Ovis aries: one gene and its partners. The protein of the gene in region 3 interacts with the protein of the main gene of each other region in a biochemical or structural test. Links are inferred from orthologs where the notes say so. Each region holds a gene or a part of one and is shown on either strand. Other genes may lie near its edges. The genes, in order: BAG1, BAD and RAF1.

Region 1 (3,540 bases), on a different chromosome or scaffold from region 3:
TAAACCAAAGAAAGAACTATTTACAAAGTATACCTAACATTATACCAATTTTTTTAAGATTAAAAAAAACAGATTCCAGGTTTTAGTAATGGTCATCTTTGAGTTGGAGGTCTTAAAGGTAATTATTATTTTTCATATTGGTGCCCACACATCTTCTTAAAAATTGTGTACAATCAGTATGCAGTACTTTAGTAATTAAAACACAATCATATATCCATTAATGTTATAAAATGAAGAGATCAAAAATAAATACATGGTTTGAGGCCATAAGTGATTCTAATTTGGTTTCAGTACTATAAGGAATTGAATAGGTTGACCCCTTGCCAATATCATGCTCAACTTGGACATTCTATCAATCAGTGTTCTTTGCCTTGCCAAATACATTATAACTGACTAGACTGAGAGCAGCTATTTATTCTATTTAAGACAACACATTATCCTAGCATGGCAGGTGTTCTCACAGGAACACAAATGGATGCTGGCTGGGGTCTGTAAATAACAATGATGTGCTTACAAAGCACTTAGAATGTGTCAGCCTTAAACTATGTAACTGAATCCTCACAGCAGCCCAAGAGGGAGTTACCATCATCACTCCCTTTTTTACAGAAGAATTTGAGACAAAGGCAAACTTGCCCAGTTACAGAATGGGAAGTCAGGGTCTGAACCCAGCGGGGGCTGAAGACAAAGTTTGCCCTCAAAACCACACATTTGTGTCTCTAGAGAATTCTTACAGAAGGCAGAAAGTCAAGTCTACCAGGAGAGTTACCTGCTGGATTCCAGCAAGGTCTTTATTCAGTTCTTCCAGCTGGTTAGCTATCTTCTCCACAGATTTCTCCAAATCTTTCAGCTTCTTTAGTTCAGCTTCTTCCTCTGGACTGTTCTAAAATGTTAAGAATAAAAATAAGTGAATAATCACCAAAAATAGTAGCTTCTGTCAGGAAAAAAAAAAAAAAATCTGACCATAAGTAGCCAAACCACTCCCCTAGGAAAACATCATCTTAAACTTGCTGCTTCTTGGAAAGCAAGCTGGAGGATTATACACTAACGTTTTCTATCTGCAAAGACACTAGATGAGATAGAAGGTACCAGGTACATGTTCTGGTGAGACAGCCTGACGGCTTGGGTTCAGAGAACAAAGCTGATCCATGAGCCATATCTGACCTTAGGCTGGGGCTGATCACCAACTGCCTCCAGACTGAAGCCCAGAGTGTTAACTAGTTATAGTGAACGCCTAGCATGTGAGGAGTCCAGAAAGGTGAGACAGGCGGAATTTTATCCTTTCCTTAAATGGAATTCCTGAGCTCTCTCATTCAGTATGACCATGATGACGATGCATACTTTCATTGAGCATCCCCTTTATGCCGGGCATCATCCTAAGCACTCTACCTGCATTATTATTTAAGCCTTACCACAATCCAATGATGAAACTGAGGTAACTGTAAAGTAACCTAAGGTCACACAGCCCAAAGAGGTAAAGCTGAGACCTGAATGGGATTTGGCTTCTCACACCCCAGGACAACTCCAGCTGAGGGTCCTAAAGTTTCTTCAAACTCAACCCTTGGGTTGTGCTCCTTTTTCCATCACCGTTCTTCCTGACCCTTGAGCAAGAAATCTAGACTATTTCCCTTTCTTTCAACTTCATTGGTAGCTAGCAGCTTTCTGCTTTTACACTGTCTCCCATTGTTCCCACTGTCTCCCCTTGGTGACCAAATCCTAAGTGCCAGTCTCCTGGCAGTTCCAAGTCTGCACTACTTTCCTTGCCTCCACATTACTAACCTCTGCCCTCTCTCCACTCTTGAATCAGCCACACCCAGCTTGAAGTAAGAGAACTTCATTTGACCAACAACTCCACTGTGTCACAATGTATTGCTGGCCCCAGGGTCTACTGTCCTCAACCCTTTTTGTCATCAACTGACTCTTTTTCTCCCTCACTTCTAGTCTGAACCTTTCTTTCCAGCCAAAGAGGATTTAACCTCACGGGAGATTTTAGCAAAAAGAATGGTTAAAGGAAGAGAGGCTCCTGAAATTTGCAAAGTACTTATTTTTAAAATTTACAGGTTTGACAGTCTCTTGCAAATTCCTCTCCAAGTGAGCAGCGACTGCTTCAGACACCATTTTATCCAGACTGAAATTCCACCACCAGCACAAAACCCACATAATTGAGGCAATACAACCACTCCTAATTCCCAGGGTGAAAACCCTAAAGAACAGAAGCTGAAGGAAATGAGAACAATAAAACTGGTAACTCCACTAAACAAACAGTAACTACATTTGCGTGGCAAGCACTACTTCACCAGTGCCAAATTTGAGCCCCCAGTTTGGCCTTCTAAACAGACACTCATGTATAACACCTCAGTCATTTGGCTCTGAGGTATTTCTGGTAGAAAACACAATCTACCTTTTTCCCAATTAACATAACCCGGCAACCATTTTGTATTCCAAGTGCTGACAATGGCATCTCCATTTCCTTCAGAGATTTTCCTGAAAAAAGAAGACAGTTATGTCAAATGTAACTTGTACAACAGTGAAAATAGACTTCAGCAAGGGTATAGGAAATAGTATGTTCACTATTGAGAAGAGGATGAGTTGGTGTAACATTTTTAGAAGGTTTCTTGACCCAATAACTTCACTTCAGATATTGATCCTAACAAATAACTGGACATGTGCCTGAACAATAACTATTACACAATTATTATTATTCATAACAGTGAGAAACTGGAAAGTCAAAAACTCAGGAATAGGGGACTGATTACTATACATCATAACAATGGAAGACTTTGTAGGCACTAAAGCTCATTTTTCAGGCAACTCCAATGCCACAATACGTGCTGATGACCGAGTGTTATAAGAAGATCACAAGAAATGATCCAGTTTTATCCACTACAGAAACAAACAAAAAAAAAGCCACAAATGAGAACCCACATTTCAGGATGCCAGGACAAACAAACAAAGGCTGGACAGAAATATACTGAATTGTTATGAGGGGTTTTATCCAAGAGAACATTTTCTTTTTTGTTTTCCTCTATTTAGAAACATGAATTTCTATTGCCTTTATAATTGTAAAATGAAATGCTTTTAAAAAGAAAAGAAAAGGAGTTACAATATGAAGTATAAAAGTAAATGCTTCCCATCACTAAATTCTTTATGATTGGCACCAAATGGGATGAATTTAGCTTCATCAGATACAAAATAATGGGTTCTCATGGGAATGAGAAGACCAGAGAATGGGGATGGGAGTAGGTGTGTCCTGGCAGAAATCACCATATTCCACTGGGCCTGCTACATCCAGGTCCTTTAAACTAGTCTGTTCAGTACCTTCTCTGTGTCAGAACTAGGCCAAGCACTGAAAACAAAGAAGTATCTCTGCCCTCATGTATTGTACCAGAGAAACCGGATGTTTGGTGACTATGCAAACAATTATTTAATAGTAGTTTCAATACAAGCTGTGCAGAACTGGAGGGAGTGCCACAAGAACACACACTGGGAAGAGGATCTAACTTAGCCAGGGAAGACTGCCCATGTGCCTCATCAAAAATGGTG
Region 2 (4,205 bases), on a different chromosome or scaffold from region 3:
CTTACCAAGGCCCTAGTAGCTCAGCTGGTAAAGAATCACCTGCAGTGCAGGAGACGTGAGTTCGATCCCTGGGTCAGAAAGATCCCCTGGAGAAGGAAATGGCAATCCACTCCAGTATTCTTGCCTGGGAAATCCATGGACAGAGGAGCCTGGAGGGCTACAGTCCATGGTGTCGCAAGAGTCAGACATGCCTTAGCAACTAAACCACCACCACCAAGGCCCACCCTGACCACCTCAGTTCAAATCACTCCCTCGAGCCCCCAAGCACTCTGGATTCCAAAGAGAAAGTCAAGGGTATGTCACCTAAGGCATCACCTGCTAAGGTACCGTATCACTGACTAGTTTGTTTGTTTCTTTGTTTATGACTTGTCTCCCCCTATCTTCCAGAATGTAGGCAACCACAAGGGCAAGAGCTTCTCTTCTAGTCCCTGATGAACCCCTGGCAGCTGGTACACACATTCAGCACTTGACACAGAAGATGGGGACAGCCAGATACAGGGTGGAAAGCAAGTTTCAAGCAGAAGAACTCCAAGTGCAAAAATCTCGAAGTTAAAGCCTGTGGAGTTCAGTGTGACATACAGCAGGCTGGGTGGTGGGGGTGGGGTCTTTTTTCTTTTAATTTTGTTTTTTTTTAGAGATTGTATCCCTAATAACTGAATATCAACCTTTTTTCTTTCTTTCTTAACTGTAATCCTAATTCCCTGACCAGGCATTGAACCCCGGGGTCCTTGGTAGTGAAAGCACTGAGCGTTAACCACTGGACCACCAGGGAACTCCCTGGGGTGGGGGCATTAATAAGCCTTCCTGCTCCTGAAAATGGAAGGGTGTCACACTGGCAGCAGTTAAGGGACATGAGTTTTGTTTTCAGAAGATGTCTGTGGTTGTTCCAGGTGCCAAGGCTTGTACTGGGCACCCAGGTGGTAGGGACTACTAAGACGTGGCCGCTGCCCTCCAGGGCCCATCCTTCCATCTCCGCTGGGTCTCCCTCAGTAGATACAGAGGACAGCTGATGCTTTCCCAGTCCCACACAGACCTGCTGCCTGGTAGGGCCATCTGCCTCTTGGGATTACCTGGCCCTGGCAATGTTAAGGACAGCCCTGTGTGGGTGTGAGCCACAGGGCGGGAAAGAACAGAGCTGGGAACTGGATCCAGATCTTAAGGAAAGCACTAGCCTGAGGTAAGGCACCACAGAATCTTCTAGCCCAAAGGAAATGCCAAGTGAGTGTGACCTTAGGCAAGTCATTTCCCCTTTCTGGCCTCTCAGTGATTCTCTCCTGGTCCTAAGCTAAGAGCTACATACTTGGAGCATTTACTAAACACCAGCTCTATAATTAAGTGCTTCTAAGGTATGCTTGTTAATCTTTCCCACAGCACTACCAGGGTGGTGATGAATTGCTGTTTTACAGAAGAGGAAACTGAGGTGCAGAGCGGTGAGGGACTTACTCAAAGCCCCCCAGAATGTGGATGTGGCTGGGGTGCAGAGAACTACTGGGCTGGAGGCAAGCTGGACAGGCAGGTGGTTGTTGGGTGGGGGGTGGGGGTTGCCTACCTCCATGGTGGCTGCTGCCGGCCGGCTGCCCCTGCTGGTGACCAGCTTCCCCCAGGAGGCCCGGGGCTGTTAGCCAGTGCTTGCTGAGACCTGGGGGCCTGTCCCCTGTGGGGCTGGGGCCCAGGCCCCTATCTGCAGGGCTGGAGTCTTCCTGCTCACTCTGCTCAAACTCTGGGATCTGGAACATGCTCTGGGCTGCAGGGGGGCAAGATGACAAGTAATTAGAGAACAGCAGGAGCTAAGGGTGGCTGGCAGGGTTGGGGGCGCAGGTGTCCCTGGCTCCCTCTCCCACCTCAGCACCCCAGGTCCACCCTGCCTCCCTGGCGCACATCTATCCGTTGAGTCTGGCCCGGCAAGAAGCTCGACTTATCCACCCAGGATCTAAAACTCTCAGAGCTCTAGGGCTGGAGAGAAGCCTCAGGCCCCTGCCCAGGCTTCAGCCAGACCCGCCCGCGGTAACGGCACACAGATCTCACCCCAAGCCCGATAACCAGGCCCCCGACCCGGGCCCGCCGCGTCCCTCTAGCAAAAAGAGAGCCCGGCCCTAGTTGCCTGGGTAACGGAAACTGTCACCGGCCCGGCCCAATCAGCTCTTGAGATGTCACTAGCTGGCCAGCAGGCGGGGCCACTCCCCGGGGCCCCGCCCACTGCCTTCCTTCTGATTCTCTTCTACGTCTCCGGATGCTCAGCTCCTGACTTCCTTATGCCTTGGGCGTTGTGGGAGCCGCTGAGGGATTCTCCGGGGTCCCCATTTGGAAGGCAGCTCCTGCTGACAAATCCTTCAGCCCCTCTGGGACTTAATTCCCACTCCTGTAAAATGGGGATAATGACACCTCTTTCAGGAGTCAGTGATCCTTGTAAACTGGGCGGTGATTACTGTGGGTGAAAGCACTTTGCAAAGCCGTAATCGAAGTTCAGCCGTCGGAGGCAACTGTTGTTGCTGTTGTCACTGCTCCATCCGAACCGGGTGACCGGCTCGGGAAGCGCCCCTCCCTCCTCCTCGCGGTGGAAACCTCGCACCGCCCGCGTCAGGGGCGCCACTCCCCGCACCAACTCGGGGGCACTAGAGATAAGCGAGGGAGCCTCCACCCGGGGCAGGATGACTGTCCCGGCGCAGAAGGGAAAGGGGCCCCTAGGAGGGTGACAATAGGACTTGCGGAGACCTCGCGCCTGGCAGGCGGCAGGCCAGGTGAGCGGGAAACGCAGCCAGCCAAAGAATGGGCGGGCGGGCTTGCGCGGGACGCTGGGGGCCCCCGCGGGTAAAGGCCCGGGGGGCGGGGCCCGGAGGCCATCTTGGCTGAGGGCGGAAGTTTCCCTCAGAGACCGAGTGAAGGGAAGTCGTTACCGCCCCAGGTCGGGCGGCACAATCTCGATTTGGGGATGGGGAAGAGAAGCCTGGGAATCGCCAGCTTCCCATGGAAGCGAGGGCCTGTAGCTCTGGGCAATGCCCACCAGGGCGCCGGCCGGATGCTGCGCAGCCGGAAAGTCAAGGCCGCTCGCCGCCTCTTATAACCCTTGGCACCCGGCGGTGGCGCAAGTTGCGCCAATTCTCGAACAGCTCCGCGCCGGGCGCGGCGCGGGCCTGCGTAGTCAGGACTGGACCCTGAGCAATTTGCGTAGCGAACGGCGGCCGCGCAGGCGCAGGAGGGGGCGGAGCAGCGGGAGCCGGGGAGCCGGAGCCCCGGGTCCCAGCGACCGGAGCCGGCTCCCCTAGCCGCGGCCTGAGGACCGGGCGTCGGCCTCCTCCCGCCCCCCCGCAGTTGGAGAGTGGACGCAGTGGGGGGTGGGGTGGGCCAGCGTCCGGAATCCAAGGACGGAAGGCAGAGGCCCTCCCCATCCGGATTGTTGGAGGGGAGAGAGCCCTCCAGTTTGGGGAGGGGGAGAGCCAGACGTTGAGCGTCCCCAGCAGCGGCCGCTGCTCTGAACAGACTGGCGTTGGCCGGCTCTCCCCCTCCTGCCGGGACGACTTCAGCGACCGAGGCCAGGGACCCCCACTCCTTCGGCTTCTTCACCCCCATCCCCCCACTTCCCCACCCGCCTGTGCCCTGAAGAGGAAGAGCTGTCTTTTCCACACCCCGTAGTGAGGGACCCAGGTTGCCTGTGCCCCGCAAAGGCAAGGGGCCCTCTGTCGAGGGCGGGAGGGCCCGGCCAACCACCACTTCTTTCCGCCTGAGCACCCTACAACTCCCACCCCTCCGTATTTATTTCCTTGGCCCCCTGCCGGCCCCTCCATCTCTGTCTTCAGGTTCAGGCCTCCCTCCCTGACATGGAGAGTAACCTGTCTGGCTTGGTGCCTGCTGCTGGGCTGGTACCTGCGCTGCCGCCCGCCGTGACCCTGGGGCTGACTGCAGCCTACACCACCCTGTATGCCCTGCTCTTCTTCTCCGTCTATGCCCAGCTCTGGCTGGTGCTCCTGTATGGGCACAAGCGTCTCAGCTATCAGACGGTGTTCCTGGCGCTCTGTCTGCTCTGGGCTGCCCTGCGTACCACCCTCTTCTCCTTCTACTTTCGAGACACACCCCGAGCCAACCACCTGGGGCCCCTGCCCTTCTGGCTTCTCTACTGCTGTCCTGTCTGCCTGCAGTTCTTCACACTGACGCTCATGAACCTCTACTTTGCTCAGGTAACCATGGTGATGGGTGAGGGTGGGCCCATG
Region 3 (4,131 bases):
TATTTTTAGGCAACAGGTTATTAACAAAGCTTTATCTGGAATTAAAATGTGATAGAATCATGCACCTACTACAAACAGGTTACTTGAAATAGTAATTTGAAGTTATTAATTATATTTTCCATTTAATAAGTAACCTAGTGCTTCTGGAGAAGTCAGATTTAACTTCCAAGAAGTTGCTGTTTAATCCTCAGAGCAAACTTCTACTTTGGATTTCACAAGTGGCCTGTTTTAAACTAAAACCAACTAGTCTCAGAGCAGTTAAAATATAATACTTAATGTTTAACCATTCTCCATTTGATCTTTTAGATACTTTTCATCGTAAGTGACCAGCTTAATCTGCTTCTCACTGTTTTCTCCTGCAAAACCAAAACCTATAAAATATGTTCTCCTGTACTTCACTCAAGCCTTCTCCTTTGAAGGCATACACATCTTTTAATTGTTGTTAAATAAGAATTTTAGAAAACTAAGCAATTTCACTACAACTTATAATCACAAACACTGCATATCTAAAAGATAATAAGCTTTTACACAGAAAGAGTAACAGGTTAATTTTCCCAAGTATCCTGTGTTCAACTGGGTCAAATGTTTCTGTTGCATTTTAAACAGCAAGCCCTTAAAGTGATAAGGGTGAAAACAAACCAAAAGAATTTTAATCTTAATGTTCTGGAGTGGTATATAATCATCACAACCCAAAAAAGATTCAGGAACTTCTAGATGAAGTCTGTTAATATCATAATAGTCACTTTAGCACAAACATTAAGCACAACAATACAGCTCTTTGGGGAAAATTATGTTCATAGAGCTAAAGACTTTAAAACAGAACTGGAATCCACAGAATCAATCCGAACAGTTTACTATATAAAACATCTACTAAACTAGAAATAGTTGCATTCTACAATTTTTCAGATTGTTTCATATAATCTGCCAATTTCTAAGCAACTGGGGAGCACAATTTATGTTGTCAACAACCATTTAAAATGCGGTTATAGTAGACTGCCTTACATTTATAAAGACAACACTTTTGTGACCAAGCACAACTTCAGAAGAACCTTTTGCAAGAATCCCGAGAAATATGAATTCTGTTCATTCACCACAGTGCAAGAGCAAAATATTTGACGTAAAGCATTTATCAAAATGTTCTTGACGGAGCTTAACAAAGTAAATCTGTGCAATTACTAACAGCTTTAACATCATCAAGAGAAGGGGGAAAATCGATTATCAGCAAGAAAATTAGCAACATTCGTCTAAAATAACTCCAATTAAACCAACTAGCTCACGATCTTCAACAAAGAAAGATCCTTCGCAAGCTAGGCAACCTTTGTTTCAGACCCTCATCTCTCACCACTTCCTTCCTGCACCCCAGACGGCTTGCTGCTCCCCAAATTCATTCCAACTCCTGCACATCTCGGGGCCTCTGTACCAGCTGTTTCCTCAGCTTAGCCTGCTCCGCCCTCCCCACCTGAAGAGCATTTGCTCAGCACGAAAATCCCCCTCCAGTCTACATGCTCCCTCAACTCCCCCAAGCAAAATGAGTCGTACCAAACTAGCACGACCCTGGGTAAACCCATCCTAATCACAGCGTCTTGTTTTCACATTTGGGAGCGAACAGAGGGGCCGCCTACCTCCACTCAGACCCGAGCGGACGAAGCAGGCAGAAATAATGAACGCGGGCTGAATCCATTCCCTCCTTACGACTTTTCAGAACCCCGTCACACCTAGAGGAGGCACAGCAGACCCTAACCTTCCTCCCACCAGAGAAAGGGGCACACCCTGGCCCCCTGAGAGAGAACAATGAATGAACACAGCCGCCTCGCCTCTCCTCACGTCCAAACGCCTCTCTCGGGGCATCGACTAGCTCTGCAGAGCCTCTGCAGCTGCACAGCCGAAGCGTCCAGGCGGCTCTCACTTCACACAAAGGAGCCCTGGATCTTTATTCCCAAGCATCCTGGGGCCGACCGTCAGTATAAGCATCCCAACGGTATCATCAGTAACGCGCAGAGTCCTGAGCCCCAAGGGGAGGCCCCGATCCCGTCCTTTGTGGTGGGACACCGACCTACTTCCTCCTCTTGTCCCCGACCGCTCTCACCTTCCCGAAAAGGGTGTCACTTGAGAGAAGATGCAAGCCCGGGTCCCCCCACTCTGCGGCCAGAAAGAAACGACGGTGGTCCACCTCAGTGACAACACGGATTCGAGGCGTCTCTGGGCGGATTTTCCCGTGGCCGAAACACAAGGACTGTGCAGCGGGAACTCGGGTGGCGCCCGCACGTCTCCCCGAAACACAAGGAAATCCTGAGTGGGGAATGTGGGGACTCGGCTCGCCGGCCATGACACCGAGCCCCGGGGCCCCCGCCCGCCCAGCGCCACCCGGGGTGACAGCGGCCTGGCCCGGCCCTCCGCCCGACCGCCGCGGGGCCGTTCCGTCAGCGACGCCCTAGCCGGGCCGCCCGGGAACCCGGCCCACTCAGCCCCGCCGCCCCGCTCCCACGGCCCGGCCCTGCAGCCTACCTGAGGGAGCCCGGCCGCCTCCGCGTCCAGTCGTCCGGCGGCGGCGTCTGGTCCGCTCCTCCTCCCCGCGGCGGGTGAGGGAGCGGGAGGCGATCACATTCGGCGCGTCCCCAGCCCAGGGGACGGGGCCCCGGGCAGCTCTCGCATTGTCCCACTCGCGCTCCGCGGCCTCAGGGCACACACCCCAAAGCCCGGCCACCTGTCCCTCTCCGGGGCCCAAGAGCGGCAGGAAAGCCTTCCCGTCTCACTCTCGTTCTCGCCTTAATCCCGCCATCTAAGATGGCGGCCCCAGCGCCCGCACTTGAGAGACTCTCGGGCGGCCCCGGCAGGCGAGCCCTACATTCGGTGCTCCTCCTCCCGACCTGCGCCGCCACCAGCTCTGCTTCTGCGCGAGCCCGCCTAGGAGCCGACTTCAAACTTGGCTCGGGCATCCATCGCTCTGGCCTGAACTCTGGTCCCACCTCCCAGTGGGCGTGGCCTAGAGATCGCGCTGATCGCCATTTCCGAGCCGTAAAGGCTCTAGGGCGGGTGCTGATCGGCCAACGGAGTGGCGGTCGAGGAGGGTCAGAGTTTAGCTGCCCCGAAGGAGTCTGAGACTTAAAAGGGAGAAGAAGGCCAGCCTGGTGATATCTCAAGGTCCAGAGATAACCAAATGAGCCCGAGGACTCAGTGTAGAGAACAGTGTCCAGCTTTGGCGTGTTCTCCCTGGAGTCCGACGCATCAGGAGACACATCGCGACTCTGTCGTTTACCCATCATGTGGGAAAGTCAGTAAACTTCTGAGTCTCAGTTCCTTGCTGGCTCAGACGGGAAAGAGTCTGCCTGCAGGAGACCCAGGTTGGATCCCTGAGTCTGAAAGACCGCTGAAGAAGGGAACGGCTACCCACTCCAGTATTCTTGCTTGGGAAACCCCATGGACAGAGGAGCCTGGCGGCTACAGTCCATAGAGTTGCAAAAGAGACACAGTGTAGCTACTAAACAGCAACAACAAATGGATATTTTAATGCATATACCCATCGCCCCAGCAGGTCCGCTCTGGACACTAATTCTAGAGCACAAAAAGGCACTCGCTAAAATGTTCATTGCCATGCTGTTTGCCTTAGAGATGACACTGGAAAAAAATGTTACTTAGTTAAAAAGGAAACTGCTCAAATAAAGGGTGCTATCTCCACAGTCCATGATATCCATTTGTTAAAAAGAATCAGCTAGTTCTATATACTGATTTTTTTTTTTCATCGAAGACATTACATTTTAAAAAGTAGAACATGTACAGAATGACTGTTCATTCTCACAGGGGCACACAATGCTACCCAACACCATGTACATTTTTTAATTTAAATTTTTATTGAAAGCCTGATGTTATTCTCCGTATTGGGAAGTCAGCAATAATCAAAAGCTCTGTCTTGTAAAGAGAAAGCCAAAGAAAATATAGTCAGTCCTATGTACAGTATAAAGGGAAATGAAGATGAAGCAACACTATGTGTAGGACTCGGCTTCCTCGGTGGCTCAGTGGAAAAGAATCCACCTGCCAATACAAGAGACAGGGGTTCCATTCCTGATCCGGGAAGATCCCACATGCCGAGGAGCAGCTAAGCTCATGTGCCTTAACTGCTGAGCCTGTGCCCTA

The links.
Region 1: the proteins of RAF1 (region 3) and BAG1 form a complex in vitro, tested with the Homo sapiens proteins (2 studies listed by BioGRID). The link is inferred for Ovis aries from reciprocal best matches to the Homo sapiens genes RAF1 and BAG1.
Region 2: of the proteins of RAF1 (region 3) and BAD, one has a biochemical effect on the other in vitro, tested with the Homo sapiens proteins (2 studies listed by BioGRID). The link is inferred for Ovis aries from reciprocal best matches to the Homo sapiens genes RAF1 and BAD.

Annotation. Positions count from the first base shown.
Region 1 is NC_056055.1:37,888,776-37,892,315, reverse strand, and holds part of BAG1 (BAG family molecular chaperone regulator 1), read right to left. Parts: intron 2,482-3,540; coding exon 2,399-2,481; intron 881-2,398; coding exon 767-880; intron 1-766. UniProt on the Homo sapiens protein: Co-chaperone for HSP70 and HSC70 chaperone proteins. Acts as a nucleotide-exchange factor (NEF) promoting the release of ADP from the HSP70 and HSC70 proteins thereby triggering client/substrate protein release.
Region 2 is NC_056074.1:39,034,094-39,038,298, forward strand, and holds the start of BAD (bcl2-associated agonist of cell death), read right to left. Parts: upstream 2,811-4,205; 5' UTR 2,383-2,810; exon of another isoform or gene 1,745-2,382; 5' UTR 1,737-1,744; coding exon 1,550-1,736; exon of another isoform or gene 1-1,549. Other genes in the region: integral membrane protein GPR137, read left to right, coding at 3,816-4,172. UniProt on the Homo sapiens protein: Promotes cell death. Successfully competes for the binding to Bcl-X(L), Bcl-2 and Bcl-W, thereby affecting the level of heterodimerization of these proteins with BAX. Can reverse the death repressor activity of Bcl-X(L), but not that of Bcl-2.
Region 3 is NC_056072.1:56,409,711-56,413,841, reverse strand, and holds the start of RAF1 (RAF proto-oncogene serine/threonine-protein kinase), read right to left. Parts: upstream 2,809-4,131; 5' UTR 2,506-2,808; intron 2,340-2,505; exon of another isoform or gene 2,087-2,339; intron 1-2,086. UniProt on the Homo sapiens protein: Serine/threonine-protein kinase that acts as a regulatory link between the membrane-associated Ras GTPases and the MAPK/ERK cascade, and this critical regulatory link functions as a switch determining cell fate decisions including proliferation, differentiation, apoptosis, survival and oncogenic transformation.